4 linked regions of the Tamandua tetradactyla genome follow. The protein of the gene in region 1 interacts with the protein of each later gene in a pairwise test. Links are inferred from orthologs where the notes say so. Each region holds a gene or a part of one and is shown on either strand. Other genes may lie near its edges. The genes, in order: KHDRBS2, EWSR1, CHTOP and NCOA5.

The links.
Region 2: the proteins of KHDRBS2 (region 1) and EWSR1 interact in a two-hybrid assay, tested with the Homo sapiens proteins (2 studies listed by BioGRID and IntAct). The two-hybrid records come from large-scale screens. The link is inferred for Tamandua tetradactyla from reciprocal best matches to the Homo sapiens genes KHDRBS2 and EWSR1.
Region 3: the proteins of KHDRBS2 (region 1) and CHTOP interact in binary tests that used the Homo sapiens proteins (3 or more experiments, as listed by UniProt). The two-hybrid records come from large-scale screens. The link is inferred for Tamandua tetradactyla from reciprocal best matches to the Homo sapiens genes KHDRBS2 and CHTOP.
Region 4: the proteins of KHDRBS2 (region 1) and NCOA5 interact in a two-hybrid assay, tested with the Homo sapiens proteins (2 studies listed by BioGRID). The two-hybrid records come from large-scale screens. The link is inferred for Tamandua tetradactyla from reciprocal best matches to the Homo sapiens genes KHDRBS2 and NCOA5.

What each region holds. Positions count from the first base shown.
Region 1 is NC_135331.1:118,113,240-118,121,199, reverse strand, and holds the start of KHDRBS2 (KH domain-containing, RNA-binding, signal transduction-associated protein 2), read left to right. Parts: upstream 1-4,949; 5' UTR 4,950-5,003; coding exon 5,004-5,094; intron 5,095-7,960. UniProt on the Homo sapiens protein: RNA-binding protein that plays a role in the regulation of alternative splicing and influences mRNA splice site selection and exon inclusion. Binds both poly(A) and poly(U) homopolymers. Phosphorylation by PTK6 inhibits its RNA-binding ability.
Region 2 is NC_135331.1:33,760,943-33,768,529, reverse strand, and holds the start of EWSR1 (RNA-binding protein EWS), read left to right. Parts: upstream 1-4,583; 5' UTR 4,584-4,971; coding exon 4,972-4,984; exon of another isoform or gene 4,985-5,174; intron 5,175-7,587. Other genes in the region: RHBDD3 (rhomboid domain-containing protein 3), read right to left, coding at 1-185, 2,255-2,402. UniProt on the Homo sapiens protein: Binds to ssRNA containing the consensus sequence 5'-AGGUAA-3'. Might normally function as a transcriptional repressor. EWS-fusion-proteins (EFPS) may play a role in the tumorigenic process.
Region 3 is NC_135330.1:6,433,399-6,440,331, forward strand, and holds the start of CHTOP (chromatin target of PRMT1 protein), read left to right. Parts: upstream 1-3,918; 5' UTR 3,919-4,248; intron 4,249-5,241; 5' UTR 5,242-5,258; coding exon 5,259-5,323; intron 5,324-6,668; coding exon 6,669-6,822; intron 6,823-6,933. Other genes in the region: S100A1 (protein S100-A1), read left to right, coding at 984-1,124, 2,452-2,595. UniProt on the Homo sapiens protein: Plays an important role in the ligand-dependent activation of estrogen receptor target genes. May play a role in the silencing of fetal globin genes.
Region 4 is NC_135327.1:6,165,995-6,173,065, forward strand, and holds the start of NCOA5 (nuclear receptor coactivator 5), read left to right. Parts: upstream 1-4,054; 5' UTR 4,055-4,211; intron 4,212-7,071. UniProt on the Homo sapiens protein: Nuclear receptor coregulator that can have both coactivator and corepressor functions.

The sequences.
Region 1 (7,960 bases):
GTTTTCAGTGGTTAGTGTTCTGTGGCATATAGCATAAATTGTAGCTATGAAAACATAACGTGAGAGAGTTCCCATTGTTCTATGGTAGTGCTATTGGTATCAGAGCCAAATCCCCTTCGCCCTCTCCTTTCTTGCAAGCTTAAATTACATTATGGAAGCTATAGAAGAAGCTGGAACTGATTTCCCTTCTCTTGTTAGTGAAATTACAAGAAACAAAAACACTCAAGTAGCATCTTCTGTGTAATAGGCTTTGCCAGACACTTAGGTAGGTGAAAGTGAGTCAGTCAGTATTTCAGTTCCTTATACTCTATGCTAGGCACTGAGGCTTTAGAGGGCAAAATTAACATTACCCTTGGCTTACTATTATAATTAAATAAATTATTGGGGTGCTACGGTTTCATTGAACCATAGTTCTTGCTGTCAGTGAATCCCTAGATATATAGAAAAAAGTACAAGTATACCCAAAGTTGGTGAGAACCATGAACAAAAAAGAAACTGCATTTTATTAATAAAATATATATATATATATTTTACTTCTTAGTCTGAAATACTTTCAAACGTACAGGACAGTTATAAAAATAATGCAAACCCCATAAAGAGAACTCCAAAATATCCCCACTCTTCAGATCTCCAGACCTTTCAATTTTAATTTTTTGCCACATTTACCATATCATTTTGTCTTCTATCTATCTTCCAATCATCCATCCATTGATCCATCCATCCCATTCCACCCATCCATCCACCCATCCATTTACCCATTTCCTGAACATTTGAGCATAGGTTAGATCTATCATGATTCTTGAACACTTAATTTTGCTATTTCCTAAGAACAAAGATATTCATTTACATAATGACCTTAAGTGAAGTTATCCTGTGCAAACAATTCAATATTGATATAAAGCCTACAATTTTTTTTTTTGTGCTCAGATAATGCCCCTTTGAGCATTACCTTTACTAGATGCCATCAAGGGTGATGTGTTGCATTTAAATATTATTGTCTCTTTAATTGTTCTTATTGTTTTTAATTGTGGTAGCATATATAAAATATACATTCTTCCATCTCAATCACTGCCAAGCAAACATTCAATGGTATTAGTCACATTGTCAATATTGTGATACCCTCACCACCTTCGATTTTTATTTTTGTTATAATGGTTTTCAGTTTTGTTTCCATCTCTCTATTGATATTCCCTTTGCATTCATCTATGATTTTTCCAATTATCTTTAGTTCTTTTTCCATGTTTTCTTTTAGCTCTTTGAGCATATTTAGGATCATTTTTAAAAGTCTCTGTTGCATCTTAAGTCTTGTTCTCCTTATTGATGGAGTCTAGTGCTTTGGTCATTGCTTCTTGTTCCTTTGTAAATTTTGTAAGCCTTTGTTGAAACTTGGATATTCTGATATTTTAATGGGTTTTCCTCTGTATCATGTGTTCCTTAAGCTTGTATCCAGCTACTGTTATGACTAAGTTTTCCTTGAATGTCAGGAGCTAACACAAAAACAGAAGGAGGAAAAAAAGGAAACACTTTTCCCAGTCTTTGCAAATTCATCTATGAGAGGGCTCTCCCTCTGGACTTACTACACAAAGGGTTGCATGAGAAGAGCTGCAGGCCAAAGCCTCAAGGCCTGCCCTGATCCTTTCTATGGCTGTGTCTTGTCTTGGGCATGCCTGTATGGTCCTAGGATTCCCCTATTTACTTAGTTATGAATGTCTCCTCTTACCTAAGAAATAGTTTCCTCACTGCACTCTATGTCCTACAGCCAGCAATTCCTTGTCTCAGGAAGCACAACTTGCATTGTGTTGGAGTGCTCTCTGAGCAGCCTTCTACATGCAGGGCCAAGTAGTGGGAGAGTAAGTCCCTTAGGCCACACCAGAGAGAATAGGCCAGGCATGCATGCTCCCAGCAGGTGCACGAGGGCCACTCTGCTCCCTCTGGAAGAGGGACTAGAGATTCACATGGAAGAAGGCTGGCTCCTAGCAGAGCTGATAATGAGTTGGGGTGGGGCCAGCGAGGACGCCACAAGATCTTATCGATTTAAGTAGACTTTTTTTCTTGATTTTGGTGCTTAGTCTGTTACTGAAATCTTTCAAGTGTTTTCAGAAGTATTGACAAAGATGTTTCTGCCTGTTCTTGCTGATCATGGAAAACTTCTGTGAGGGGATGGAATCCTGAAGTATCTTACTCTGCCATCTTGATTGTGTGGGGTATTGTGTATTTTATTATAAAGATTAGGTACTTCTTATTAGAATGCAAAGATAAGCCTGATTGAATTCCCTCTAGCCTGGCCTTTCTTCCAAGATTTGTGTGAAAGTGTTGAATGCACAGTTTGTGCAATAACCACTATTGTACAGTGGATGCCTTATTTATGTTTCTGAACCAAATATGGTTGTAGTGAAAACTTTCATAATACCTCATTTGAAATGGAGAGAGGAAGGGAGGGGGGGGAAACAACAACAGAAACTTTAAGGACCTGAACAGATGTTTGAAATGAGATAAATCTTTAGCTAAGCCCATAGCTAAGCCTAAGTCAATCAGTGGTGATTCAAGTTAAGTTATTTATACCATTAGAAGAGGTGGACTACCAGAGGCTATACATTTTTTCACATGTATAGGCACATAGTATTATCTATTCAACAATCAACTGCAGAGGGCCTTCTATCTTTATGTTTATAAAATGTTTGCATTTGTAAGGTAGCTCTGAGAATAGTCACTAAATAACTGTGCCACCTATAAAATTTTTATCTGTGAAGTTAACCAAGAAATGCAGTGACATGGAGCCATCTATTGAAAACAGAAGGATGTGGTGCTGAATGAGTACATGTGTAGGGCAATTGAGAGTTTGCCTTTGTTCAAAATATTCTGTTTAGAAATAGGACAAGTCTTTACATATTGATTCTTAAGAGCACAGAGGCTCTTTATGTAAAGTCTAAGTGATGAGTTATATTAAAGACATTTAGTATCTCTCTGAAGCAATAATTAAGAATTCAAGTAATGTAGTTTATATATCTTTTCTTATGATGTCCATCGTGTGCTAAGTGCAAAAACCGTATTCTTTTCCCTAACTCTTTGATTGGTTTCCTCTGGACCCTTATTGCAGTCAGCAATTACCAGTTCTCTTGTGTTCATTTTCTTGGTCTTTCCCCATTAGAAAATCATCTCTATGACGGTAGGAAAGACAGCATGTATTTCATTCACCAATAGTTTTCCAATTTATAGCATACTGCCTATACTCTTCAATATTCAACAAAACTTTATTGAATGCATACGTGCAAAAACAAATTTAATAATTAAAATACAAAAAAGATTGGCTAAGGCATTATAATCTGGAACTAGATGCTACCAAATAGGCTTCATTACAATCTCAACTTTATCATTAACTAACTGTGAATTTTGGGTCACTGAAATTCTCTGTCTCTGCCTCAGTTTCTACATCTATAAAATAGAGAAATTAATATTTTCCCAGTGGATGTGAAGGCATTTTTAAACACTACAATTTCGAGATAATCCCCTGGCTTTATCTAAGCACATGTACACACATGGAAGAGATTTTATTGAAGTAAGTGTACCTCACAAAGTTTCAGCAAGCTTTATTTGTAGAGTGGTGGACCCTCTTCCTCCCGCACTAGAATTTGTGGAGGAGGGGAAATTGGAGAATGATGGTTTGTGAAAAGAGTTTTCAAGACCATGGGAAAGATTGCTTCCTCGCTTTTGAAGCCCACAAGCTACATTTTAAAGCATCATTGGTGAGAGACCTATGGATTGTGCATCCATTGTTGGTAATATGGAGAGGATTTAACTCTCTCTTTAAATAGAAGTGGACTAGATATAAAGCAGCTCAACAACAGTACCTGGTGAAAGCGACTGTCACATCTAAATTAAGGAGAAAGGGGAAAATTAGAGCATTCACATTTTCTAGAAATTAGAAAATTAGGGTTACTAATTTTCTAGGCTCTTCCTGTCTCCACATCTCTTCCCAATTCCCTCACACACGTTAGCCGATTGATTATGTCGATTTTCAGTTTTTAAATTCAGCGACCTCCGCCCAACCCTTTCTTAGGGGCAACAATTAAGGGAAAGCGCAGATGTGAGAGAAATAAGAACTAATTCAATACCCCAGCTGTTGTACACTGAAGCTTACTGTTGGATAACAATATAGCCCCAGAAGGGCTTTATTTGTTTATCAATAAACATCCTACTGCGTCCCTGAGATGTAGGTCAGGCTCATCGGAAATGCCAGCCGCCGATCACATGAGGTCTTCATTTTATTTCCAGACCCGGTGCACTGTTTATTCCTGCACAGCACGAGTGCATCTGAGCGGCTTGAAAGAGAGGAGACACCTGTGCCTTAGGGACACAGGTGATGTCCCATCTACCTTCTTAAGACTTTTCCTGGCGCTTTCCCATTCCCTTTCCTTTTTTCTCCTCAACCCCACCTCCTTGGTCTCGAGCTTCTGCATTTAACAGGTGCTTTTCCTGCTCCCTTCCCTCTCCTTACCGCGGTTGAAGACACAGAGGTCTCCTCAGAACTGGGCATGCCTAATAACCAGGGAAGGCTTGGGCTGCAAGAAGAAAGCTTTTGCGCCTTCTGCGCTCCCCTCCCTTCTGCAGCTGCCTCCTGCCAGTCAGACGATTCGACGTGCAGTGCAGTCCAATGAGGGTCCGCAGCCTTCGCGGGGACCCCGCCTCTCGAGCACCGCCACCAATGAGTAGCCGGAGGAGGTGGGACGCGCCCTGTTCCCGCCTCTCCAGTTAAGGCCACTGGTGTGAGCGGGGGCTTGGCGCGAGCGAGGGACAAGGGAAGACACTGGCAGGTGTGGGCGCGGGGCCGCGCAGTCCGACGGCGGGAGTCACCGGCGCTCGGTGCATGGGCCAGTGAGGACCGACGGAGATCCCCTCGCCGCGGCGGAGGCGGAGCAGCGCGGGAGCTCGGGGCTGCCCGGCGACCCTGCGTCGGAGCGAGCGGAACGTTGCGCTTCGCCCGGGGACGGTCCGAAGTCCGCGCTATGGAAGAGGAGAAATATTTGCCTGAGCTGATGGCAGAGAAAGATAGCCTGGATCCATCTTTTGTGCACGCATCGCGTCTTTTGGCAGAAGGTAGGACCTGCCCCTCCGATGGGCTCGGACCTCCCGGCCGCCCTACGCTCCCGCGACGGGGTTAGGGGAGAGAAGTTGGGGAGGGACGTCTGTCTCCGCGTTGGTAAAAGCTGTTCCCCCTGAAGATGCTCGCTTCAGAGCTCTGGCAGACGAAGCCCGTGCTTGGGGCAGGCAGCTATGCTCCTTCTCCACGTTTTAATTTGGGGAAAACTCAAGCTGCGAGAGCTAATGGCAGTCGTGATGATGTGACTTGTTGGGATCATCGATAGTCAAAGAAACCGTAAAGTGTAACGCGGTCTGCAAGAACCTTTTCACTTCGCAGAGGGAAGAGAGAAATCAGTTTCGAAGTAAATGATTATCCGTGTAGTGTTCTAAGAGCTTCGTGACTGTAGATCAGCATTTTTTTTTTTTTTGGCTGCATTTTGCAAATGATTTTGAAACCTTTTAATCTAATTACAATCTAGTTCCTATGGGAAGTATTAGGAATAACCTAGATGAAACTGTGCATGTTCTTATATGTATGTGAGTGTCGTAAGCAGGGACTAAAGTGGTTATACATTGACTTGAAGTGATGATCGGATACGTTTCGAGGTATTGTTTCCTAGGAACACTTCACAATTGATCATCTGTTTAACTAAGTGTACATTTTCCTTTGTGTACCTGTAATTTTAAAGGAGCTTTCATTCCCCGAGAAATATTTGTCTTTTAAAATTATTTTTTGCATTGCTTTGAAAGGATGTCTTAAAAAAAAAGACACATAAACACAACTTCTGAATGGCAGAAACATTACGTGAAATAATGCCTTCTAACAACGAAAGACACTTGGAATATCTGTAGTAATCTACACACACTTTTCTTTTTAACAACTACAGATTTTCTGGGGGGGATGAATACTTCATTAATAATAAATTACTTCATCATAAAATTGGCTACAATGCAGTTTTTAGCTTGGGTTGTTATAGTCTTAGCTATAGTAAAACTAAAAGTGACAATTTCCTTTTCCCCAGTCCCCTCAGCATTAAAAGGAGTGTTTTCTTTTTGAAGCAATTTATATGGAAGGAAAAATTTTGTTACTCCACATGTGAGTGAAATAGACAATTTTATTTTAATATTTTATTGATGGAGTGTTGCTTAGAACAAGTCAGCATAAATTATTTTCTGTCTTTTTGAACTAAACAAAATGATTTACAGTCAGAATCTGAAATGTGTGATTGAAACAAGTAAGTTGCTTTTCAAGAAAGAGGCAGATTTTGCAGAGGTTTTGGGAAGGGTAAAGTGCAAGTATGCGTACTACTTTGGTTAAAGAATGGAAAAAATAGAAATTAAAGCTTAAAAGTCAATTAAAAATTAAAATCTCCCTCAGGTATTAGAAAACTTAAGGCAGCAATATGAAATAATAAGGATATTGGAGAATAATGAAGCTATAAATGCTTGATGGTTCAAAATGGATTAAAAATGCTTTTAAGACACTTCAGATACTTCAATATATTTTCTAGAAGTGTCTTCATTTAGGTGATAATGCCTCAAAAATGAAAAGAAGTTAAAAATTGATCTTTTTCTCTGATTTGTTAATTGGAGTCCCCTTTGGAACAACGGGCTCAGATTTCATAGATCATTAGTACTTTTGAAAATTGCCAAACTAAGACAGTACACATGACAAATTCTTAAGAGTACATAGGTACTTCTGTGGCTTGTACAGTAGAGAAGAATATGTACTTGGGTCTTTAACACTTTATCTTTCTCAGGAATTGGCTTTCTTGATACTTAGGAACATGTTCTGATAAACTGTGTAATTTGAGTTTTTCCCAGTAGGGGGAAGCATGCCCTGCTTTTATAAAGAATTAAGAGGAAAAGCACCTAAATAGAGGGGGAAAGCATTTAAGTAAGAAACAAAGAGAGGTTCTCAAATTCCAGAGAAATCGTACAGAGGAAAGGAGAGTGGAGGTGATGATAATCTTGGGGTCTTCAAAGACTTATGCAAAAAGACACAGAGCATTTTAAATTACTTCTCTGATTGTACCGCGGACTCTTGATATGTGCTTTTAAAGTGTATAAGGTGAATGTCTTTTAGAGTCGCTAATAAATTTTATTGTACATTTCTTATCCTAGATCTTTCATTATCTTTCCAAAGGCCATTTGCCAGGCTTTCCAGGTTTTTGTTTCAGATTCTTTAGCAGAGCGTGCTTGAGATGATTTTCTTTCTTACACTTGGAAATGCACTGATTGAAGGCAATGCCTATAAATAAACCTGACATAGATATTCATTTGGAAGGAAGGTGTGCACTGAAGTACATTTCAGTCAGTACTGTGCAGACAATCTCAAGACTGAGTGAGTAATAAAAATGATGCAGATGATTCAGTTCTTGGGAATGATTTTCCGGAAGACAGTATATATAAAGGTAGTGATGTAAACCAATAAGCTTTCACAATGATTTATTTTGATTTTTGATTGGTAGTAGATGCAGATCAAGTGCTCAATTGTGTCTACATTGTTTGGATTGAAGACTGAGGCGTTAAATCTACTAGTTTGTTGTGGGTTTTTTTTGTTTATTTTTGTTGTTTGTTTTATTTCACTTGCTACTGCTGTGTATTTTCAGTAGGGATGGTTCTGAGAAAGCCTTAAACAATACTTAAAATACTTAAAAATACTTAAATAATCTCAATATTTTATTGTTATGTGAGTAGATCTTAAATAAAATGGTTTCAAGAGTGCTTATAGTATCTTTGAGTAATTAAAATAATTTTTCTCCCATGGTTATAACGTTGTTGAATTAGCCCTTTGTTATGGAAGATGCTTTTGAATATGATAAAACAGCAAACGCAGCATGATCTTAAAGTTCCTCTCGACCTCTGAATTTGCTTGCCA
Region 2 (7,587 bases), about 84 Mb from region 1:
CCCAACGCCCGCCAGGAGCACAGCCAGTAGCCCAGCCACCAGGGCGAGCAGGACAGAGGCATACAGGAACCGTAGGGTGCCCAGGCGGCATTCCTGCTGCCAGCCCAGTGCTGGCAGGAGCAGCAAGCTCAGGAGCAGGCCTGGCAGGGCTGTGTGGCCCAGGGCGTGGGTCAGCAGCCTGTGTGCTGGGAGAAAGGAGGGGCATAGGTGCAAGTTGGGGGCTGCCCTACCGCTAGGGCTAACTTCTGAGCCAGCTTCCCCTCCCCAGGAGCCAGTCCACCCACTTAACCTTCATGGAGGGGACCACGGGCTTCCAAACACTGGGACAACTCCCCTGTTGTGTTATAAAAAGTCCAGACCCACTAGTCTTCTAGTGGCTTCTCGCCAGCAGCCACTGGTGGGCTCTTGCTATATCCCAGGAACTGGGGAGGGGGGCGTTAAGTACACATTTGCTGAATCCTACACCCTGGGAGCAGGGGTGCTGGTAAGACTGCCTGCCTGTTTCAGTCCTTGTACCCGCCCCCCCAATTCCCAGCTGGTGACCTTAGACAAGCCACTTAACCTCCTTGAAACCAAAAATTATTTGGTTTCCTCCAATGTAAATTGGAGCTATTATTACTGGAAAACGGGTGCTTAGCTGGGGTCACTCCTGGAACCCCCAGTACCTCCTCCCCCTCCTCATGCTCAGCTGAAGGCCTTACCTCTTATTTCAATGCAAAAGGGAAGCTGTCAGAAAAGAACTCCCACCCACTGGCTCCCACCCCACCCTGCTCGACCTCCACCTGAGTCCTCTGCCCTCTCTTGGCCCGGGGTGAGCTGGGCACATTTCCATCCAAGGCCAACTTTCCCCAGGGACCTAGGCCCCATCCCTGTTTGGCCACTGCAGGGTGCATCCCACTCCTACCAAAGTCATCTCTCTTCTGCAGCACTGATATTCCTGTCCTGGGCTGTTCCTGTCAGCTGTCAAGCACACTGCAGGTCTTTCTCTCCAGCCACTGCCCCATCTCTGCTCCTATTTACAGCAAGACTACTAAAAGTCATCACCCTTCACTGCCTCCACTGCCTTTCCTAGTCATGCCTGTCCCCTCCACTCTGGGGAAGCCACTCTTGCAATGAGCTATACATGGCCAGATCTGATGGGCAGCTTTGTGTCTACACTCACAGACATATAACATGGTCATCCTCTCCAGTCTAGGCTTCAGATGTCATCAATATGCTGATAACTCCCACATTTCTATCTCTGACACAGAATCTGCTACCTCCAGTCTCACGTGTCCAACAGCCAACTCACTCTCCCACTTGAATGTAAAATCAGCATTTCAGACTTCACATATCCAAAAGCCAAACTCTACACTGGGTTCCCTGTTGCAGTAAGTGGTTAACTCCATCCTCCGAGCAGCTCAGGCCCCAACCAAACCTCCTGCCCCTGTATTCTCTCACCCTCAGTTACTACCCCCAAAGCATCCCCTGCCTCCAGGGCCAGGCCATTATCTTGCATCAGGATCTTTGCCGTCACCCTCTCACTGGGCTCTTGCTTCAACCCGTTCCCACTTCAGTTGGTTGCTCACAGCAGCCAGGGGATCCTTCCAATGCACTCCAGTTGGAGCTGAAGTCCTACCACAGACCTCAAGGCCCCACATGCGCTCCTGCCCCCCCCCCTCCCATTAACCCCATTCCCATGTCCTCCTGGCAGTCCCACAAACACTCTGATGTATTCCCACCTCAGAGTCTTTGTCTTGCTGTTCCTCCTGCCTGGCTGGCTGCTAGCCTTGCCCCCTGCAGGGCTCTGGAAAATGCCACCCTGTCATGAAGGCCTTCTATAAGAGCCCTATCACTCACAGCTCCCCCCACACCATTTCACCTTCTTCTCAGCACCAGCTATGTATTCACTTGTTCATGTCTGTTTCCCCCTTCCAGAATGTCAATGCCATGAAAACAAGGACCTTGCTTTGTTCACTATTGCATCCCCAGCACTGAGCAGTGTATGGTACATGGTAGATGCTCAATGAATATGTGCTAACTAAATGATTGGATGGATGGATAGGTACTCATCAGATTCTAATTGTTTTGTATTATATAGTCATTCAGGGAACTGCTTGGGCAGCTCTGTCCAACTGTCCTTGATATAAGAGGAGCTGCTGCTGATATCCCTAGTTTCCAGATGAGGAAACCAAAGCCCAGAGATGGCAAGTGACTGGTCTTGGCTCCCCAGCAAGTCTCCTGCCTCCTCCAAGGCCTCGTGGATGGCCCTCACCCTGCCAGGGTTCCAGCAGCAGCTCCGGAGCCAGGGCGAGGCTGGGGCCAGCCCCCACCAGCCACAGACCACTCAGCAGCAGCATCAGAGCTGAGGAGGCCAGGGGCATGACCAGGGTCGGCAGGCCAGAGGTGCCTCTAGCATACATGGCTTGGCTGAGGGTGGTCGAGGGAGGTCCTGGGGCTGGATGCTGGGAATAAAGGAGAATAGTAACAGTGGTTATTATCATAGACTTTATCTCACTGACTCACTCTCAATGACCCTGCCAACAGCTCCATGTTGGAGATGTGGAAACTGAGGCTGGAGAGGCAGGCCACACAACCTGACCATGGCAGAGTTCAGACCCTAACTCATATGCCCAGCCACCTTGCCATTCTGCCTGCCCCTGTGTGAGGATGGGCAGTGGTTGAGAAAAAGGGCCCTGAGTTCTGATGGGCACTGAAGAGGAGTCAGGGGTAAAAGGCACAGAGCCAGGGAAGTCAAATTGGAGCCCAGAGCTCCCAGAAACAGGAGTGTAGCCCCTCAGGGAAAATTCAGGGCCATCTCCAGCCCTCCTATGCCTCCCTCTTCTCTCTGGGTGGGAGTCAGTTCATGCAGCCACCATCCCCCATTCCTCCCTCCACTGTGCCCAGCCTTAGAGCTCCTGCCATTTGGCAGCCCTAGACCCAGGGGGTGGAGCCTGCAAGGCAGTGTCTGCAAAGCGGGCCAGCCAGTGGGCAAGTAGATTGGAAGGAGAGTAAAGTCAAAAGAGTTGGAGGCAGGGAAACAGGAGTCCTGCCCCCTGCACCTCTACAAAATGTCACGGGATTGAGAAAAATCGCTTCCTTCGGCACAGCCCCTCTGGCCCTGGCCTACTCTTTCCCAAGGAAGGTTCCATTCTCTGAGTTTCCCCAGATCTGAGCCTCTCTCCTCCTAGGGTGAAGAGCAAAAGGAATGGGCTAAAGCAGGACCAGGCCCACAGCTCCCACTCAATAAACATTAGTGGCTAATCCTGGAAGGCAGGTGGAGTCACCAGCTCTGGGTGGCCAAACTGGCTCACTGCCTGGGCTTAGAAACAACTCCTCCAGCCTGGCTGGTCCGAGCTCTGGCCCACTAGTGCGCAAGACAAGGCCTGTCCTCCCTCCTCCTGGCAGCCTGTCCTCCCTCCTCCTGGCGGCCTGTCCTCCAGCCCTGCTGGAAGCCCCTCACCGCTGGCTAGGCCACCCTGCCTCAAGCCCCCCAGGAAGTAAGACCCTAGAGAGACAAGAAACGCTGCCTCACCTGCTCTCTTGCCAAGAGCATCCTTGGCAGTGAAACCCACCTGCCAGTTTCCAGCAGGAAAAATATGGAAAGCTCCTCCATCTGCAATATGCTTCCCTCTGTCTCTCCAACTGGCAAACTCCTATTCGTCCTTTGAAGTCTAGCTCAAAGGTCCCCTTGGCCTCCTCCGCCGGCCCACACTGGGGATCTTATCCTAATTTATGAGCACAGCTTGGCTTATCTGTCCTCCTCCTAGGCAGGCAGTCTGAGATCATGGAGGAGCCTCCTCTCACTTATCCCAAGCTCCCCAGGGTGCACCCAGCACTTCATACGTGCTCACCAAAAGAAAGATGCATTGGCTCCGGGTCCCACTAAGGAATTTGGGGTGAGACCTGTCTTTTGCAAGTGCGAGCCTTGCCCTGAGGCTGGGTCTGGGTCCAAGGCCCATCTGCAAGCCTTCTACTACTTTTTCACAATCACTCCCTCCCAGGCCACCTTGCACGTCAACATGCATGGCTGGGACTTGAACTTTTTGGGGCCCAGATTCTTCATCTATATAATGGGACTGTCAACGATCAAGCCCTGCCTACCTTAATAGGAAGCCGGGAAGACAGAATGGGAAGACAAGGACGGAAAAGTTCTTCCGGAGAGTGGGAAGGTTAAAGGTCCCAGGGTATGGGTCAGACTTTGTGACTTTGGGTCAAGTACCAAACTTCCTTGGGCCTCAGTTTCCCCTTCCGTAAAAACAAGGGCGTTAGATGGGGATGACGAAGGGACCTTCTTAACTTCGACCGTTAGTGGGGGCCTCTCGGGGCCGGGCTTAGCGTTCGGACCTCCCACCCAGCCTATGAGCCCCCGGCCCCCTACCACGCTGCCCGCACCACGTGTCCAGGGTACTCACTACAGAGCGCGCCCTCGACCCCGGGGAGGCCGCGCGGGGCACCCGCCTAGGAGTCAGGACTCTACCCCACCGCCAAGGCCCGGGAGTCCCGAGCCCATTCCTCACACACCTGGCGCGTGACCCCTACCGCCTGGCCGGCACGCCGCCCGCCGATTAGTCAGCAGTTGTCCTAGGCCCGGATCCCTTCCCCCAGCTTTCCCGCCGCCCTCCGTTTCCCTCCAGGCCAGACTCTTCACAGACGGTCCCTAGAGCCAGAGGACGTAACCATTCCGAACAACCCAGCTTCGTGCGGAGAGTTACCTCGGTTTGATACCGAGATCTGTTCAACGGCCGCTCCGGCTCCTTCAGTGCTGTTTTGGCCCGCACGTCACATCCGGCGCTCTTTAGAGAGTACTAAGACTAGAGTTGCGGGCGGTAAGGGCGAGAAAGCTGAGGTTCCTCCTTGTCCTCCCACACCCCCGTGGCCTGGTCCCATGGTAGCGTCCGAGGTTGCGGGCTTCGCGCCTGCGCAGTGCGGCGCCTAGAGGGAAGGCGAGAGGGAGACGGACGTTGAGAGAACGAGGAGGAAGCAGAGAAAATGGCGTCCACGGGTGAGTGAGGTGGAACCGCGGTCGCGCCGGCGTCGACTGGGACGCCCAAACCAGGGGCCACTCGTCTCTGGAGGTGGCCGGGGCGACTGAGTGGGGTTGCCGAGAGGGGTCTCAGTTGCCCGCCACAGCCGGACGGGCTTGGAGACCCGTGTTTCCCCCCCTCCCCCACCGGGCGGGACGGTTCTAGAATCTTCCGGCGCCTCCCGCGCGCGGGGGGCTTGCGGCGGCGCGCGGTGACGAGGGCGCGCGGGACCCGTCGAGGCCTCCATTGTGTGGCGGCCGTCGGCCCTGCGCTCGGGGCAGCCCGCCACGTGGGCGGGGCCTGCGGCCTCTGGGTCGCTGCGTGGGGCGCGGGGCTGGAGGTGGTTGCTTGGTTGGGCTTCGAGTTGGCGTCTGCAAAAGTCCGTGTGGAGGCGGCCCGGTTGGCGCGTGGGAAAGCCGTGGACCCGCTGCCTGTGTACCCTACCCCCTCAAACACACGTTTCCTGAGAGGTGGCTCGAGCCCGAGGGCGACCCTACCTCCAGGAGAAGCTTAGGGGAAAAAAACAACAAACAAAAAAGGCGTCGCGGATTTGTGGGCCGGGGGGCGCCGGCCTTTCGCTCGGCCTATGAGCGGGAGCCCCGTCATCCCTAAGGCCGGGTCGGCTGGGGGAGTCCGGAGCCACCGAGCTGCTCCCTCCACGCGTTCCAGCCCCAAAGCTGAGTTTCTGCTTCACTGGGCGCTGGGCGGAATGTGCTCCATCTTTTTGAACCCCACAATCGGCTGCCCTCTCGGGCTTTTTGGGGTTTTTTTTTTTTTTTCATTATTTGTAAACTCCACTTCCTCCTTTTCTCAAAAGCTATTAAGTGATTCCTAGAGTCCATTTTTATTGCAAACGCCGAGGGAGATCTGTTGTATAATAAGGCCAGTCTGGATTGCGAGGCCTGAATTTCTATGGAAAGAAATTTCTGGGTTCTTCGACCTAAGAGGAACAAAAGGTCGGCACCAGTATTTGAATTGTGCTTAAGCAATCGTTTCACGCGTTTAATAGCCTGCGTCGGGCCGATAGGCTTATATATTTTGTGGGCTGCTAAAAGAAGAGGGAAAAGAGGCTCTCGGTAGACATGGAAAGAAAGCCAGACTTGTGAACTCCAGAATGTGATGTGTGAGGTGGTCCTTGGTGCATGGAGAATTTTTAAAAAGTGTACTTAAGCACCTGCCGTTTTGCAAACTGTCCATTCCCTAGCTGGCGGTTATCTGCTAGGTCCAGCAGTTTTGCCTCTGGAGATATTCTTAGGCCTCCTGATTCCTGGCCTTAGAAACAGAGGAGATGAGAGGGGAAGACAGGATAACCTCTGGGTCGTTCAGAGTTTTCTTCAGAAAAGGGTCCGTAATCTAGCAACCTAAAGATATATTTCTCATTTTACCGTACTGTGTGATTAGTAAAACGGGTAAATGCTGGCTGTCCAAGTTTGGGATGGGCAATGGTTGAATGTTACTGTCCCTGCCCTGCTGAATCCTGGGGAGAGGGGTGCAGATGTGTACCTTCAGCATGGCTGGACATGTTTTTCGGTCAGTTTTACTCAACTTCCATTGATTGTTGTTGACTGATTTTTTTAAACTACAATTACAATTGTGCTTTATGCAGACACAATAGTATTAGGACAGGGATGGGAAGTGGTGGTGGTGTGAGGCTTTGGGGAGTCATGTAACTTTTCTGGACCTTAATTTTCTTTCTTGTAAAAATGAGTGAACGAGGCTAGATCTTTTAGGGACTTTTTGAGTCCTTAACTTCTGACCTTACAGCAAAGCATTTTGGTTTCCACAAAGTTGCCCCATACTGACTCTAATGCATTATGTAGTTGAATATTTAAATCTGCACAGTTTAGACAGTGACTGCCGTAAAGCTGCTGTCTTGGGTAATAATGCATGTTTTCCCTCTTGTATATATCATATATAGAAAAGCACCTAAAGCCTATGTCCATTGGAACACAAAGAATTACAACGCAGACTCCCCAAGTAACCACCACCTAGGTGGAGAAACAGAATATTGCCAGTACCCTAGAGGACCCCCTGAATTCCAGCCTCTTTCCTCCTCCCAACCAGTCCAGTATTTCTAGTGAAGTCTTCAGCTGCACATTTGGGAATTAAAAAGAGAACACAATTGGTCACTAAATAATTTGACCGGGGTATAATTGAAGCATATTTGAGGCCATATAATATCCATGCTGTATGTAATTCTCATGAAACAAACTTGCCATCTCCCTTAGGAATTGGTGAGCCCACTAGGGTAGGGTGAAATCTTCTAGTTTCATGCCAGTCACATCTTCAGTTCCATATCATCTTTGCCAATTTTATGTTTTACATAACTATTCTTGTGTAAAAGTCCTATTGCAAACAGAATTTACATGCCAGCGATTTAGAATCATTTCTCATTCAGAAACCTCAACAAAATGTTGGCTGAAATATATGTTTTCACATGCTTTATTGGTGTGTTTATTTTGTGAATGCCACATGGAAGAAATGGTTCGGTTTACTTTTATATGTCACATAAACGTCATGAATTGTAGTGCTGATGAAAATGCCTTAAGGCTATCTTAAATCAATTTGTTCAATATAGGTA
Region 3 (6,933 bases), on another chromosome or scaffold:
GACCCACTGGCTTGACGGTCTCCCCTCTCCAGCCTCAGCAGTCCTCTCCATTCTTCTTCTCCCTCCCAGCCCCTCAAAGGACCTCAGGAATTGAGTCTTTATCTTCCCCAATACACACCGGCCCCATTCCCCCTTCTCTCACTGTCCCCACATCAACCAGGCTAGGCCTGGGGAGACAAGGCCCTACAGGTCTCCCCTCCCCCTCCCTGGGAGCCCTGGCTCCAGGGATAAGCCTCAGACATTCCTGTCCGTTCCCACCATTCCTCCAAGGGAAAGGCTGATTCTGCAGAGATGCAAGAGGAGCTGAACCAGAGGCAATGAGAGGCCTACCTCAGGGAAGCCAAAATGACGTGTTCTGGAAAGAACAAAGTTGAGGGACCAAAAGGAGCCCCCAAGCTGCTGACAGATAGCTTAATGGCTGTGAAAACCCCCCAAGGAGTCTTAGGCCACTCACTCCGACTGTCTCCCCTCCATTCAGGCTCACCAAGAATAGCACACTGACTCCTTGCTAATGGTGGGCCACAGAGTCAAGACCATGGAAAGGACCCCAGCTCACTGTCCCCAATAGCACACAGAGCCCGGCTATGCGGGCAAATGAGGCGCAGGGTAAAAATAGATTCAGAGGCAGCCTGGCCAGGCCCTGTGACCACTTCTGCCTGCCCCACCCTCCTCAGGCCTCTAGAGCCAGCCCAGTCACTCTCTCTCCAATGCCCCAAACCCTGTCTGGCTGGAATATGGATTAACGGACCCAAAGAGCAGGACTGGATTTAGTTCTGCCTGAGTTTTCCCTATTATAATATCTCAGTGAAGGGTGAATTGCTGTGGGGCTCCCATCTCGTGAGGGTTCGGACTGTGGGGTAGAGCCAGGCTTGAGACCAAGATTCCTCCCCGCCACCCCAACCCCGGATGCCCTGGGTCTGGTCCCCCACTCACTTCCATGGCGTGTGTGCTTGTGTGTGGGGGTGAACAGGTGAGCTGCCGCAATGGGCTCTGAGCTGGAGACGGCCATGGAGACCCTCATCAACGTGTTCCACACCCATTCCGGCAAGGAGGGGGACAAGTACAAGCTGAGCAAGAAGGAGCTGAAAGAGCTGCTGCAGACCGAGCTCTCCGGCTTCCTGGACGTGAGTGGGCAGAGGGTGGGATGGGCAAGTGGGCAGAATGGGGTGGACACGCTCCTGTCATCTCCAGTCCCGCCCCACCCCACCCCCACTCAGCCCAGCCTTCTCCCTGCTCTCCTAGACCTCTCCTGAATTTTTTCCAGGCCCCCCTACTCTTCCTGGTGCAACTCAAAATGCCCTGGTTTACTTGCATCTGATGCGCCTTTTATCTAGCATATGGATAGAGGAGTAAAAAATACGGATACAAAATAAACAAATAATTGGGGGGGACAAAGGTTAAAATAAATCAGGCAGTTGGAAATACTAGTGGTCAATGAGAGGGAAGAGTAAGGAGTATGGTATGTATGAGTTTTTCTTTTCTCTTTTTATTCCATTTTCTGGAGAGATGCAAATGTTCTAAAAATCGATCATGGTGATGGATACCCAGCTATGTGATGATATTGTGAGCCACTGATTGTACATGTGTGGAATGTATGTGTGCTAAGATTCATCACCGAAAATATTTTTTAAAAACAACAAAAATGCCCTGGTTTCTTGATCACCTGTTAAGTGAAGGCTGTGTATAGATTCATCAATAACAAGGCCGGAAGTACAAAGAGCTCTTAGAGGTACCTGCAAGGGGATGGGAGAACATTAACCTGATTACAGTGGGATGGCTTTTCCAAGGACATGCCACTTGAGCCATGGATTTCCACTGGCAGGTTATTGGGGTAAATGAAGACATTTTAGGAGGCAGTATCAGCATGAATAAAAACATGAGAGAAGAAAAGAAGGTGGAGCATGCTAAGTTTAATTTGACTGGAGTGAAGGATGCACAAAATTAGGCCACAAAAGCAAACGGGGGCCCTACGGTAAAAGAGAACCTTCAGGATACAGTAGGAAGTACACAGACACTTTATTTTTATTTATTTATAGACCCAGATTTGCATTCTGACCCTATCACTTTCAAGCTGTGTGACTTTGGCAGCTTGCTTAACCACTGACTGTCAATTCGTTTCTTCTCTAAACTGGGAATAATGAAATCTACCTCTCATAAAAAAATCTATTTTTGTGAGGAATTAGACAATGCCTGTGGAGCTTGGCACATTGAAGGCACTCCGAGGATGGTCACAGCTGTGACCATCGTTACTCCGCGCTGTGGAGGAGCTCATCCTGTGGGCAACAGGAGCCCATGGGTATTGGGGTTTTGAGGAGGGGAGCACAGGAGTCCCATTCGATGTAGTTCTGCCTCCTTCTCAATCAACGACCCTCCTTGCTCCTAACTCAGCGTCAGGCACGCTGGACTCGCCGTGCCACCGCCTCTCCCCCTCTCCCCTTCTCCCCCACCCAGGCCCAGAAGGATGCGGACGCGGTGGACAAGGTGATGAAGGAACTGGATGAGAACGGAGACGGAGAAGTGGACTTCCAGGAGTACGTGGTGCTGGTGGCCGCCCTCACCGTGGCTTGTAACAACTTCTTCTGGGAGAACAGTTGAGCAGACACCCCCAGTGGGCAGCGCCCTTCCCCTCCACCCTGGCAGATCTGCCCTTTGATCCGGCTTACCTCCCACCCCCTTTCCCCTCCCCACGCTCCTCCCATCCCCATCAAGGGCACAAGAGTAGTGGGCCAGGCCTGCAAGTGCACTTACATTAAAGGCTCTTCTTTGGCCAGCCACCCACTGTCTGCCTCTTCTGTAGCCCAAATGTTGGAGAGCTGCTTACTTCCAATTTGCCTAATTTGGGGAGAGGCCTTACGCCGCCGGGAGGTGTCTTACTGGGGGGAGGGGGGGGCATATACAGTCCTACTTGAGAAATGCTCAAGGCCCATGAACGTGGGGTTTCAACTTTCCAGCTGGAAGCTTCTAAGCTATAGAGCCAGAAGAATCTCTCCCTCAACACTCAAGAATATTTACTGAAAACCCTAAGCTGGTGTTCTGAAGGAACCGGGGATAGAGCAGTGAACAAGACACAATTCCTGTCCTTACTGGACTTGGGCCATGTAAAGTCTAAAACGTGTGTGTGTTTAGACTACTAAACACACACAAAGCCACGTTCTAGGAAGGAAAATAAATGGCTCCTCATGAGTGCATACGGGGTAAAGGAAGAGATTCAGGATGAGTTCATTCCCTCATTCCTCAAACATAGGAGCACTTTGTTATGGACCAAACCACAGGGAAAACCCCACAGGTCTAGGGATGGGAGGTCCGGAAGGCAAGGGGGAAGGAGGGCGCGGAAGGGACACAAACGTCTCCCCTCCTCCCCAGTAAGGCTTAAACAGCACTCAGACCAACTGCGGGAGGGAAAGAAGTGGAGAGGAAAATACGGACGGGGATGTGTGTGTCCTAAAGCGGCCTCCGCGGCCCCGGCTGGCGGCACTTCTCAACGCTGAACCGGGCTTATGAGGATAAAGGAAAAAACAGTAAACGCCCCGGGTCCGGGGGTCCGGGGGAAAAAAACCGGGGAGAATCTCCAGTAAAGACTTTTAGATGGTCTGCCTTAACTGGGGAAAGGGCGACAGAACACAAGTTTCATTTTTCATCGGGGCACAAGCCCCTCTCAGCGTCCGTGACTAGCCACGACCCAGGGAGAGTACGGTGCTAAGTCCTGACGCCACGGGCCAGAACACCCGTCCGCCCCGATCCCGGGTCCGCTAGCCACGCCCCCTCGCCGTCCGAGCGCGGCGTAGTTACGCAAACGTGCCTCGGCAAAACCCCACCTTCTCCCTCGAGCCCCACCCCTGGCCCCCGCGCGGGCGTACCACAAACGTTTCCCCGCCCCCCGGTTGTGCGCGGATCTGACGTCTGATGTAATGGCGTCGACGCCATTTTAGCCGGCCCCACTCCGCACCGGGCGTGGCGGCCATTTTGTTTTGGACACCGAGCGGGAGTTGGTGGCAGCTGTGGTAGCACGGACGAAAGGAAGGAAAGGGCAGGCCGGGTGAGCACAGAGACCGGCCGGCCAAACAGCCGAGGACAACCACGAGCTAACCTAGCAACCTACCGCCTTCGTATCTAATCAACCGCCCACCAAGTTAACCCGAGCTCCCCCGCCGTCAACTCGGGTTCGGCCGGTCTCCGGCCTGCCTGCCTAGCCGTGGTGGCCGCCCCGGGAGGAGCACTGGCGTCCGTTTCCTTCGGTGCGTTTCTGCGGTGAGAAGAAGAGGGGAAAAGTGTTGGGGAGCGGGCCGAGCTGGCGGGCGCGGAATGGGGTAGTGGGGTGTGGGAGAAGTTAGGTTGCCATGTTGGAGCGTGGAGGCCCAGGGAGGGGGCGGAGGCCCGGAGGAGGAAGCGGGGGAGGGGCGGAACTGGAAACTGGTGGGGTTTGATGGAGAAGTTTGGGATACAGTAGTGGAAGAAAGGAAACTTAGCGTCTTGAACAAAGTTGGCGGCCTTGACGGGACTTTGAGATGGTAGGGAGGTGAAATGAGGACTACGGGGCTTTGGGGAATGTTGGAATGATGACTTTAGGGTTAAATACTGTGGAGGGCTCTCTGGGAGCTAACTTCCTGGTGAATGCCCATTTAGGAAACCTTTTCTCGTCCTTCCCTTAGGTTCCTAGTTCCCTGTTAAGCTCGCTGCAAGTTTTGGAGTCGAAAGTCAGTATTGAAACCACTCATGGTCATGCTTGTATCTTCCCTCTAGATCAGTAATTCTCAACTTTGGCTGCATATAGGAGCACCCAGGTAGCTTTTTTAAAAAAAACAAAAAAGCAAACAACAAAAAAAAAACTATTGCTAATCCCCAGATCCAAACCTTAGAAGGTGGTAGTTTAATTGGTCTGGGACCAGACTTCGGTGTTTTTTTGTTTGTTTTTTTCTTTTTGACTCCCAGGGTAAGTCACATGCAGTCAAGATTAAGAATGACTACTCTAGACTGAAAGCCAAAATTAGCACTTATTTAGTGCTCTCTGGCTCTGCCATCTTTGGAGACTTGGCAGATACTTTCTGTTCTGTAGCAGTGAAGTTTTTATAGTTTGAGGTAACAGTCTTACAAAGGTAAGCACCTGAAGTGAGTTTTGATATGCTCATCATGATAACAATTGTCAGTGATACAAATCTTTTAATTCATTGTTGGTGTGGGCCTTGGCCCTTGTAGAAATGGCCATTCTGCTTTTCTGCTCATTCTGTCTATTGTCCTTTGTAGATTCTCGGGATTTGAAGATGGCTGCACAATCAGCACCGAAAGTTGTGCTAAAAAGCACCACCAAGATGTCTCTAAATGAGCGGTGAGGCAGCCAACAGCAACTTCAGCGCGTTCATAAGAAAACATTGTTAAATTGGCCCTGGGGTCCAATGCACAAAAACCGGTTTTAAACTAACTAGATACCAACAGAAGGCTACAGACCTCTGTTCCTAGTTGCATCTTATGTGGTACACAAAACAAATTGGGCGGTTGTTTCAAAACCCCTTATCAGTAGCTTTTTATGTTAAGCTGTCTGAAACATTTATCTGGTGGGATGTATTTGAAAAGGACTCCTCACACCCTCCCTTTTCTTCACATTTTTTTTTACATTGATACAGGGGTGGTGCAGCGTGGTAGCATGGTACCCTGGCTGCAGTTGGCTTGTTGCCCAGTCCAAGGCCAGCAGTGTTGTGTTTGGCCTGTAAGAGGCAGGTAGCAAGCCGTGAATCTGTCCAAAGGCCCTTGAATGTTGTTCTTGGACCTTGTAAGAGGCACTTGCTTTGCTCCATTTCACTTTCTTTCCATTCTGCTTTTAATTTGTTTTTGTTTTGTATTCTGTAAACATTACGTGTTCTCTTCCATTTCATTAAACTTACCTTGACAGGAGTAATAGAGAAGTGTCTTCACAGGCTCCTAAATGATTCAGCTAATGTCACTTAATATAACTTTATCAGAAGTAATCATATGGAGCCAGAAAAGGTGATCATTCAAAACTGAGAAAAGGTGTGTAAAGGCAGTTTCTATCTTGAGGAGCTTTATTCATTGAGTGCCTTTGGTCATTTTATTAAGTTGATGATAGACCACTAAGATTTATTTAATATATGTTTTTGCTTTTCTGAAACATATGTGCTTCTGTCTTTTAGGGTACAGTACTATAATTAATTATCCATGTTCACATGCAACTAAGTGAATAAATATAGAAAAATGTGATATATTCCTAAAATGCATGTGGGTGTTTGTATATCCCATTAGTATGGCTTTGAAGGTACTCTAATCCTTCTTCATATTTGCCCTTAGAATGCACCCTCGGGTCTTCCAAGGTTTTGGTTTTCTTCATTTGTCTTTGAAACTACATTTTCTGTCTCTTGTCATCGTATCTGCTTATTGCGTGTTTTTCATATTTTCCACCTCTCTAAAAGCCGTTACCTGAGCCCTTGTTATCACTTTTGATTGAATGTGCCGCACTTAGCTGCATTTCTCAGTTTCTGATTCTTGCAAGTTTGTGGAAACAGAGGAGTCTTTAACCCACATCAGCCTTGATCTAAGTGTACCACTTTACTTAAAAGTTCGTGGGATCTGGAGCTCCTGATCTAGCAAGCCATGAAAATGCCAATAAATGTTTTATAATAAAGCTTTTATTTAAACATCCATTTTGTTCGACCTTGAAGCTTTACTAATATGCTGAAGAACAAACAACCGATGCCAGTGAATATTCGGGCTTCGATGCAGCAACAACAGCAGCTAGCCAGTGCCAGAAACAGAAGACTGGCCCAGCAGATGGAGAATAGACCCTCTGTCCAGGCAGCATTAAAACTGAAGCAGGTGAGAGAATGGGTTTTAATACTCCAGAAGCAGCTGGTGATCTCCGTCAGGCAGTCCACTGAGGCTGTCAGGATGTGATGGTTGGTTACGTGGTGGCTCAGGGCAAAAGCT
Region 4 (7,071 bases), on another chromosome or scaffold:
TCCAGTGTTTTGGGGCAGCTAAAAGGAAAAATCTGAGATAGTGGAATGGTAGCCCATGACAAACTCTGGGATCTGTTCTGTAACTACTTGTTGAAGTGTACTTCGAAAATTATCGCTTTTTTCTTTCTTTGTTTTGTATATGTGTTACATAATAGAATAAAAAAACATCACTGGGGGAGGAAGTTCAATAAAAATTTTGATTTCCACATCTTTTAGAACTGGGAGTTAATCAATATTGTCTGATATTGAAAGTTTGATTTTTAAAAATGACTTTGACTACTAAATAATTGGCAAAGTCTTTCTCTTTCCTGTACACAAATCTTGTAGGAACTAATAATGGTTATCAGGAACATTTGATATTTGATATCTGATGATTCCTTCAGTGTGGAGTTGCCAAATAAAATACAGTACACCTAGTTACATTTGAATTCCAGATAAATGATGAATCATTTTTTAGTATAAGCATGTTCAAAATATCGCATGGAACACACTTATACTAAAAATCTTTCGTTGTTTATTTAAATTTTCATTTTGTTTTCTTATTTGCTATATATGAAATTCTACTTCAATGTCATTTCAATGTTTTTATAAATATTAGCTATCATATACAGGATGTAAAGTGCTATACAAATGAAACACATTATAATGGGGAAAGTGTGGATACAATTGAAAAACCATGGGACTTTGAATTAAAAACTTGGGTACTGAGCTCTAGTTCTGCCTCAACATCTCAGTAAATGCATGACTTTGGACAAATCACTTAATGTAAGCATCACTTCCTCAAAGTCTATAAAATTGGGTTTTGTGTGTGTGTGTGTGTGTGTGTACATCTCATTTAATCCTCACCATGACCCCAAGAAGGTGTTACTATCTCTGCTGCCAAAATGAGACACTTGGGGCTTGGTTGAAGCTCTGTGAAGCAGGGGCCACATCTGTCTTGTCTCCCATGCCTGAGCTTAGCCCAATAAACATACCTGGTAGGTGCTAAGAAAATACTGAATATGTAAAAGAGTCCCAAAACTCATATCATATTAAAGGGAAGAGCCAAGTTTTGAACCAGATCTTTTTTATTCCAAATCTGGACTCTTTTATTTTCTAACTTTTCATTAAAAAAAAAAAATTTAGGTGTACTTTACATATAGTAAAATACACAATCTTTAGGGCACACCTCTGTAAACGTTTACCTTTGTGTATATCCCATGTAATAGATCAAGATTAACACATTTTCCTCTGCCCTGTAAGTCTCCTCAAGCATAGATTTTCCCAGTCTATGCCCCCTCCATCTCCATCTCCCAGAGCTAATTTCTATTCTGACTTCTATCACCAAAGATTTGATTTAATCAAAGCTCTCACTCTTAAATTCTAGATTTCCCCTCTCCTGTGATGTATCAGATCAGATACAAAGTGTATGTAAAAGTGTTTTATAACCCATTAGGCGGTGTCTGAGCCCCCTCGGTGTTTAGAATAGGTCCTTATGTCAGCTCACCCATCACCCATCCAAAAGTGAAAATGAAATAGACTCTATTATGCCCTGAATTTGTCCAAATGGAAGATTTTACCCCAAGATTTTTTTCTGATCCTCTTCAATAGTCCTGTCTTTAAAAAATTGCCAATTTCCTTTATCATAAATCTTTCGGCCCTCCTTCCTCTGGATATTCCTGAATCTCCACCCCCATTAGCCTAGAAGTGGCTGGCTTCACACCTACAAAGCACGTTGAAATACTAAGAATAATACTGATTAGAGAAAAAGCAAATGAATAGCTCAAAAACATTCTTCTACTATTGAATATACTATTGAACCCACTCTTCCTTTCTTACTTTTTTACTCCATTCAACAAATATTTCCTGAGCACCAACGCTGCTTCCTCAGCAGGGGTTATTGTTTATGTAGAATTCCTCATTGCCCCAAATTGACCATCCTGTGAGTCATACAAGGCAAAGCTCTCATGGCTCCAAGGAAACGCATGCTCTTTAGTATTGGCTGGATATTAAACTAAAGCTTCTTTCCCTCAGGCTCCCCTTACTAGGGGAGAACCACTGAGCTCAAAGTCATTACCAAATTGTAGGACCACTGAGCTCTAAAGTTCCATCTGACAGAAATCAAGCAGCTTCCGTTGTAGCAGACTTTCCTTGTATTCGTTGGTCAAACTTTGCAGGACCACAATTGAAGGTTTAGAGGCTGTACACCATTCAAGTACCCGTGTCTTGGAAGGGAACTTATCTCAGAAGATGGTGTCACACAGTTAAATGAGCACGTTCAGGCAGCAAGCTGTGCTGGCTTGAGTCCTGGCATGCCACATGCTCTCTGTAGACTCTCAAGCAAATTAACTGGCCTTAATGGCCACATCTGTAAAATGGTACCTACATTATAAGATAAAATGAGGTCATATTTGTAAGGGACCCAGCACATTATAGGCACACAATAAATGTTACCTATTATTATGTAAGTCAAACATCTAAATGGGAAGACATCTTCTGTGTAAGAATGTCTGCCTACGGAATTAACTTTCCCCATCATAAAATATTCGTCACATTATATTACTATAACTTGTTTATTGCTTGTATTCCCTACAAGGTTGTAAGTTCTCTGAAGGCAGGGACCTGGTCTGTTTTGTTCTCCATTCTCCACAGTGCCAAGCACATAATCACACATTAAATGTTTGTTAAATGCATGGATGAATACATCAAGCGCTGATTTAAGGAACTGCCATACAATCCTAAACCAACAATCTCTTGCTTGGTTATCTTAATCTAATTATCATGATTCTTCCTTCATCAAAGAGGAAAGAATAAGAATCAACATTTGTAAAGTAGTATCATTTGACAGGCTTTGTGCTTTTATCTTTAATCTCATATAATTTTGTAAAGTAGGAATTTTGATAACCATTTTGCTTGTGGGTAAACTAGGGCTCCAGTTACACCCTCTGGAATCCCTATTCTTTCCTTCAGAGCATTTAACTCAGTTTGCAGGGACACACTCAAGTGTGAGTATCCACCTAAAGCCATCTCTCCACTAGACTGTAATCTCCAAGACAGCAGAGATGGGTCTGCAAGCGCTCACAATAATGCCTAGCAAGTAGGTGCATAATAAATCAAGGGCCACCAAGCAGGTGTATAATGAACATTTGGTGAGTAAATGAGTGATGTGAGCACATGAGTGGGTGTCAAACAAACCTGGCTTCCCATGGTGTATTCAAATGTCACAGCCACTATTTTTTATAGCATGCTCACTATTCACAAGACCCCATGGGGTCTGAGGCATTTCCTAACTAATAAAACAGCCTACGGGATTCAAACAGTGATGGCTGTGATTGATAGAGAGTATTTAAAACTGTGTGAGCAAATTCCATTCCCTGTGACAAATATATTCTATAGATTAAAGAACAGTACAATGTTTTACATGCTTCACAGTCGACAGGTACATTCTGGGAAATCCGTTCTTGACACTGAATAAATATTCCAGGAAGAAACAAATAACTCAAGAAGAATCTGTGCAACTATCTCCGAAAGCCTTTTGCCTCTTGTCAGTGAAACTAATAGGGTACAAAACCTATTTAAATGTAAATTTAAATAAAACATCTTCTCCACCTCTTGGTTTCCGTGTGCCAGGTGATCCCGGAGGTCAGAGGAATATACACAACTTCCCACACACATCCCCCACCTTAAAGAGTCAAAATTTGGGTTTGGAAAATTCAATAGTTAAAAAAATATTATGCAAGACTAAAAGCAAAGGATTCGAGGATTGAAATGTTCTATTTCCACAGTTAGAGAAGAAGGAGTGTGCTCTAAAAGCGAGGGCCGGGGCAGGGGCTGGGGTTGGGGGCGGGGTGGGGAACAGAGACTTGACCATTGACCCTTTGGAGGAGGGCGCAGGCCTAGAGCCTATGCCCAGACCTGGACGCCGTTTCTAGGCAACCCCCAGCGCTCAACCACCGCCCTAGAGCCACTTCCCCGCCCTCATTGCCAGGGTGATTGACGCCTTAATTCAGTGCTGTCGTAAACCTGCCCGGTCTCGCGACACTGTCGCACTTGCCGCTGCGTGCGCGCCCTCTGCCCCCGTCTCCAATCTCCGCCCCGGCCGCCATTGCCTCGTGCCCGCGCCGGTCGGTTGGTGGCGCCTTTGTCCTACAGCGGGCAGGTGGGCTGAGGCGGAGGCGGCAGCGGTGGGCCTGAGGAGAAGGAGCGGCCGGGAGCCCGCCGCGCTGGTAGCGGTGAGTGCCGGGAAGCAGTGGCCGTCCGCCAAGACGTTGGGCGAACTGGCAGGCGGTTGAAGGGGGGGGCCGGGGCCGGACGGGGAGGCTGAGGCGGGAGGGCCCGCTGGACGCGCGGCCGCGGCCTCGTCTCCTCTCCGGGTGCGCGCGGGTCTGCGCATGCCCTGTGCGGGGCGCGGCCTCCCATGGCTCTCCGCAAGTCCAGGCCCGGGGCCTGGACAGCCTGTGGTGTGGTCGAGTCGCGAGGCGCCGCACCTCAGCAGCCCCTCAGTGCGCGAACCGCCGATACTAGCCCTGCGGCCTTCTCTGTGGGGTGCGGGGCTGCACGCACTTCGCCCGCTTCTCGAAATGGCGAAGTGAAGTCGCTCGCCTGTCGGCGCTCAGCGAGTCGATGGCGCAGTCGGGGCTCGAACCCGGGCCGCTGCGGGCGTTCTCGCGGCGTAGTGCGGCGTGCGGAGCTCTGGTGCCCGTCGCCGCCGCCCGGCGGCCCCGTGACCGCATCCTCGGGGCGTCTCCTTATCATGTGCCACCCCCACCCATCTTATAGACGCCGACCCCGGGTTTAGAGAACCGGGAAGGGAACTGTGCCCGAGGTTCCGCCGGAGAGTGGCGAGAGAGCCAGCGCTCGAACCTGCTGGCTGTCCTGTTCCCTGACCCAGGGCGCTTTCCGCTCCCCGACACCTGCCCAGGGGCCTCTCACAGGACGGCGTTTCCCACATTTCCGTCTCTCGCGTTCCACCCTCACGTCCGTGTACCACCTGTACTGCTCTTTACTAAATGTTATCTTCTCACTCTTTCGTGAATTTATTTGTTCGAAACGGAAACTTAAATCACAAGCCGTTCATTGGAAAGCCAGTTATCTTTCTAATGCTCATTAAAAAAAATAATAAATACCTATCTGTTAAAGTAAACAGTGCGTCCTTGTTCCTCCTGAAATTTATTTTGCGTTCCACGCTTTGGGAAACGCTACCCTAGCAGTGTGGGTTTATGGGATTAATTGTAGTCCTTCTGGCTTTGGCTCTGTGCACACAATTTTTCCCTGAGGCATAGCAGATTCCGTGAGATGCCCTGGGATCTTCGGGGATGGTGATTAATATCATATAAGCTTTCTCTTGTAAACTCTTGTCATTGTTGGCAAGTAGTTGGTCCTGTCAAATGCAAGTACTGTGTACAAGTGTACCTGGTGTGTCCCCTCAGTTTTCTCACAGCATTGCGGCGTGGTAGCCATCTGACAGTTTATGTCTCTCCCAACACTGACCGAGCTTTTTTAGTTTCTGACGACTCTAGATTTAATGCTTTGTTTTGTTTAATAAGTCACCTTGGGTGTGAAAGCTCACTTTGCGTTAACTTTTGAATCAGTAACGCTCTAACTTTGCATTGTGGATATTGGAAATCATTCCTTACTTTGGTTTCTTTGCCTTTCTATTAGTTCTTTTCTCTGTTCTTTCACCCTCCAGATATTCTTTGAAACCTGTGGCATGGTCTCAATCTAAAACGTAGAAACACTGATTTTCCTGGTGGGATGTTCTGAAGAAACCATATTGTAAACTTCAGTGAAGGAATCTTTCTAGATGCAGGTTGTCCAATGTTGCAAGCCTATGAACACCACACCTTTAAAGGAGGCATTGGCTCATTAAGTTCTTTATAAATTAATAGTCTGTTTTATTTATAGTCTTTTTATAAGCTCTATTTTTGTGTGAGAGAGAGCAGATATAGCTTAATTCCTTGAAAGGAAACTCAGAGAAATCAGCTCAGGCCATTCAAAGCTTTTACACAACCCAAAGGCTTTGTAAAAGAATTTTCCCTGTTTAAAAAAAAAAAAAGTTCTGTTGGCGTTACTTTGATATAAACACACTGTAGAACCCATAGAAAGCTAAGGTCATTTTCATCAAATTTCCAAGAAACAGTCCTGTGTAGAGAAGAAATAAGAATTTGATTTTAGTCAGGTGTAAATTTCAGAACTTTAGCAAGTAGAGCTTCATCTACCAGTGCTCAAAAGCTGGGAGTAGACATCTTTTGGAAAAGGCTTTAGAAGTCTTTTGAGAAAGAGCTTGATGGTTTACAACTTGTTTTAAAAAACCATTGCGATTATTCCATGCCTATGACCTGCAGATGGCAGTGCCTTTGTACAGCTTGTTGCTACAAGAAGAATTATTGGAATTCAGTTGTGCTTTTAAGAATGGAAAACTTTGGAGGAAATATGTTTAATTTTTTATTCCCTTCAGTTTATGCTGTTCCTTTGCTTTTGACTCCCCACATGAAGAATGAAATAAATGCTCATTCCTAAACTTACTATTAGTGGTAATGATAACACAACCAGCAGTGCATATGATTTACAAATCAGGTTTACAAATATCAATTCATTTGCTCCTGCTGACCATCTTGAGATAATCTCTCGGTATTATATCCTCTTTTACGTATGAGAAATAGTGGCTCAGAACATATTCGAGATATTATCAGAGATAAAAGAGTTCGCGGTCAAGCAAAATTGAGAAATGTAAAGGTAAAGCTGTGTTCTTACTCCAGATTTTCTTAGAGACTTTAACTTGCTAAACCAGATATCCAAAAGAGGAAGATGTCAGTACACCTTTCTCTTGTTATCCTCCCATCAAACATCTTGAGGTGTTAGTGTTCACAAAAATCAATTACTCTTTCTACTATACTGTGTTTCCCTTGTGGTTTATTAATAATTATGGTATGTTTTTGAGATAAATGCTTTTTAAAAGCTCATCGTCAGCTTTTTTGTGCCAAAAAAAAAGTTTGTCCTACACATTTGTCTAGACTGTTCTGCGCAAATGAACTGTCAAAAAGTTAAAAGAGTAGTGACCAAAAGAAAATTTAAAATTACCCTCTGTGTTAC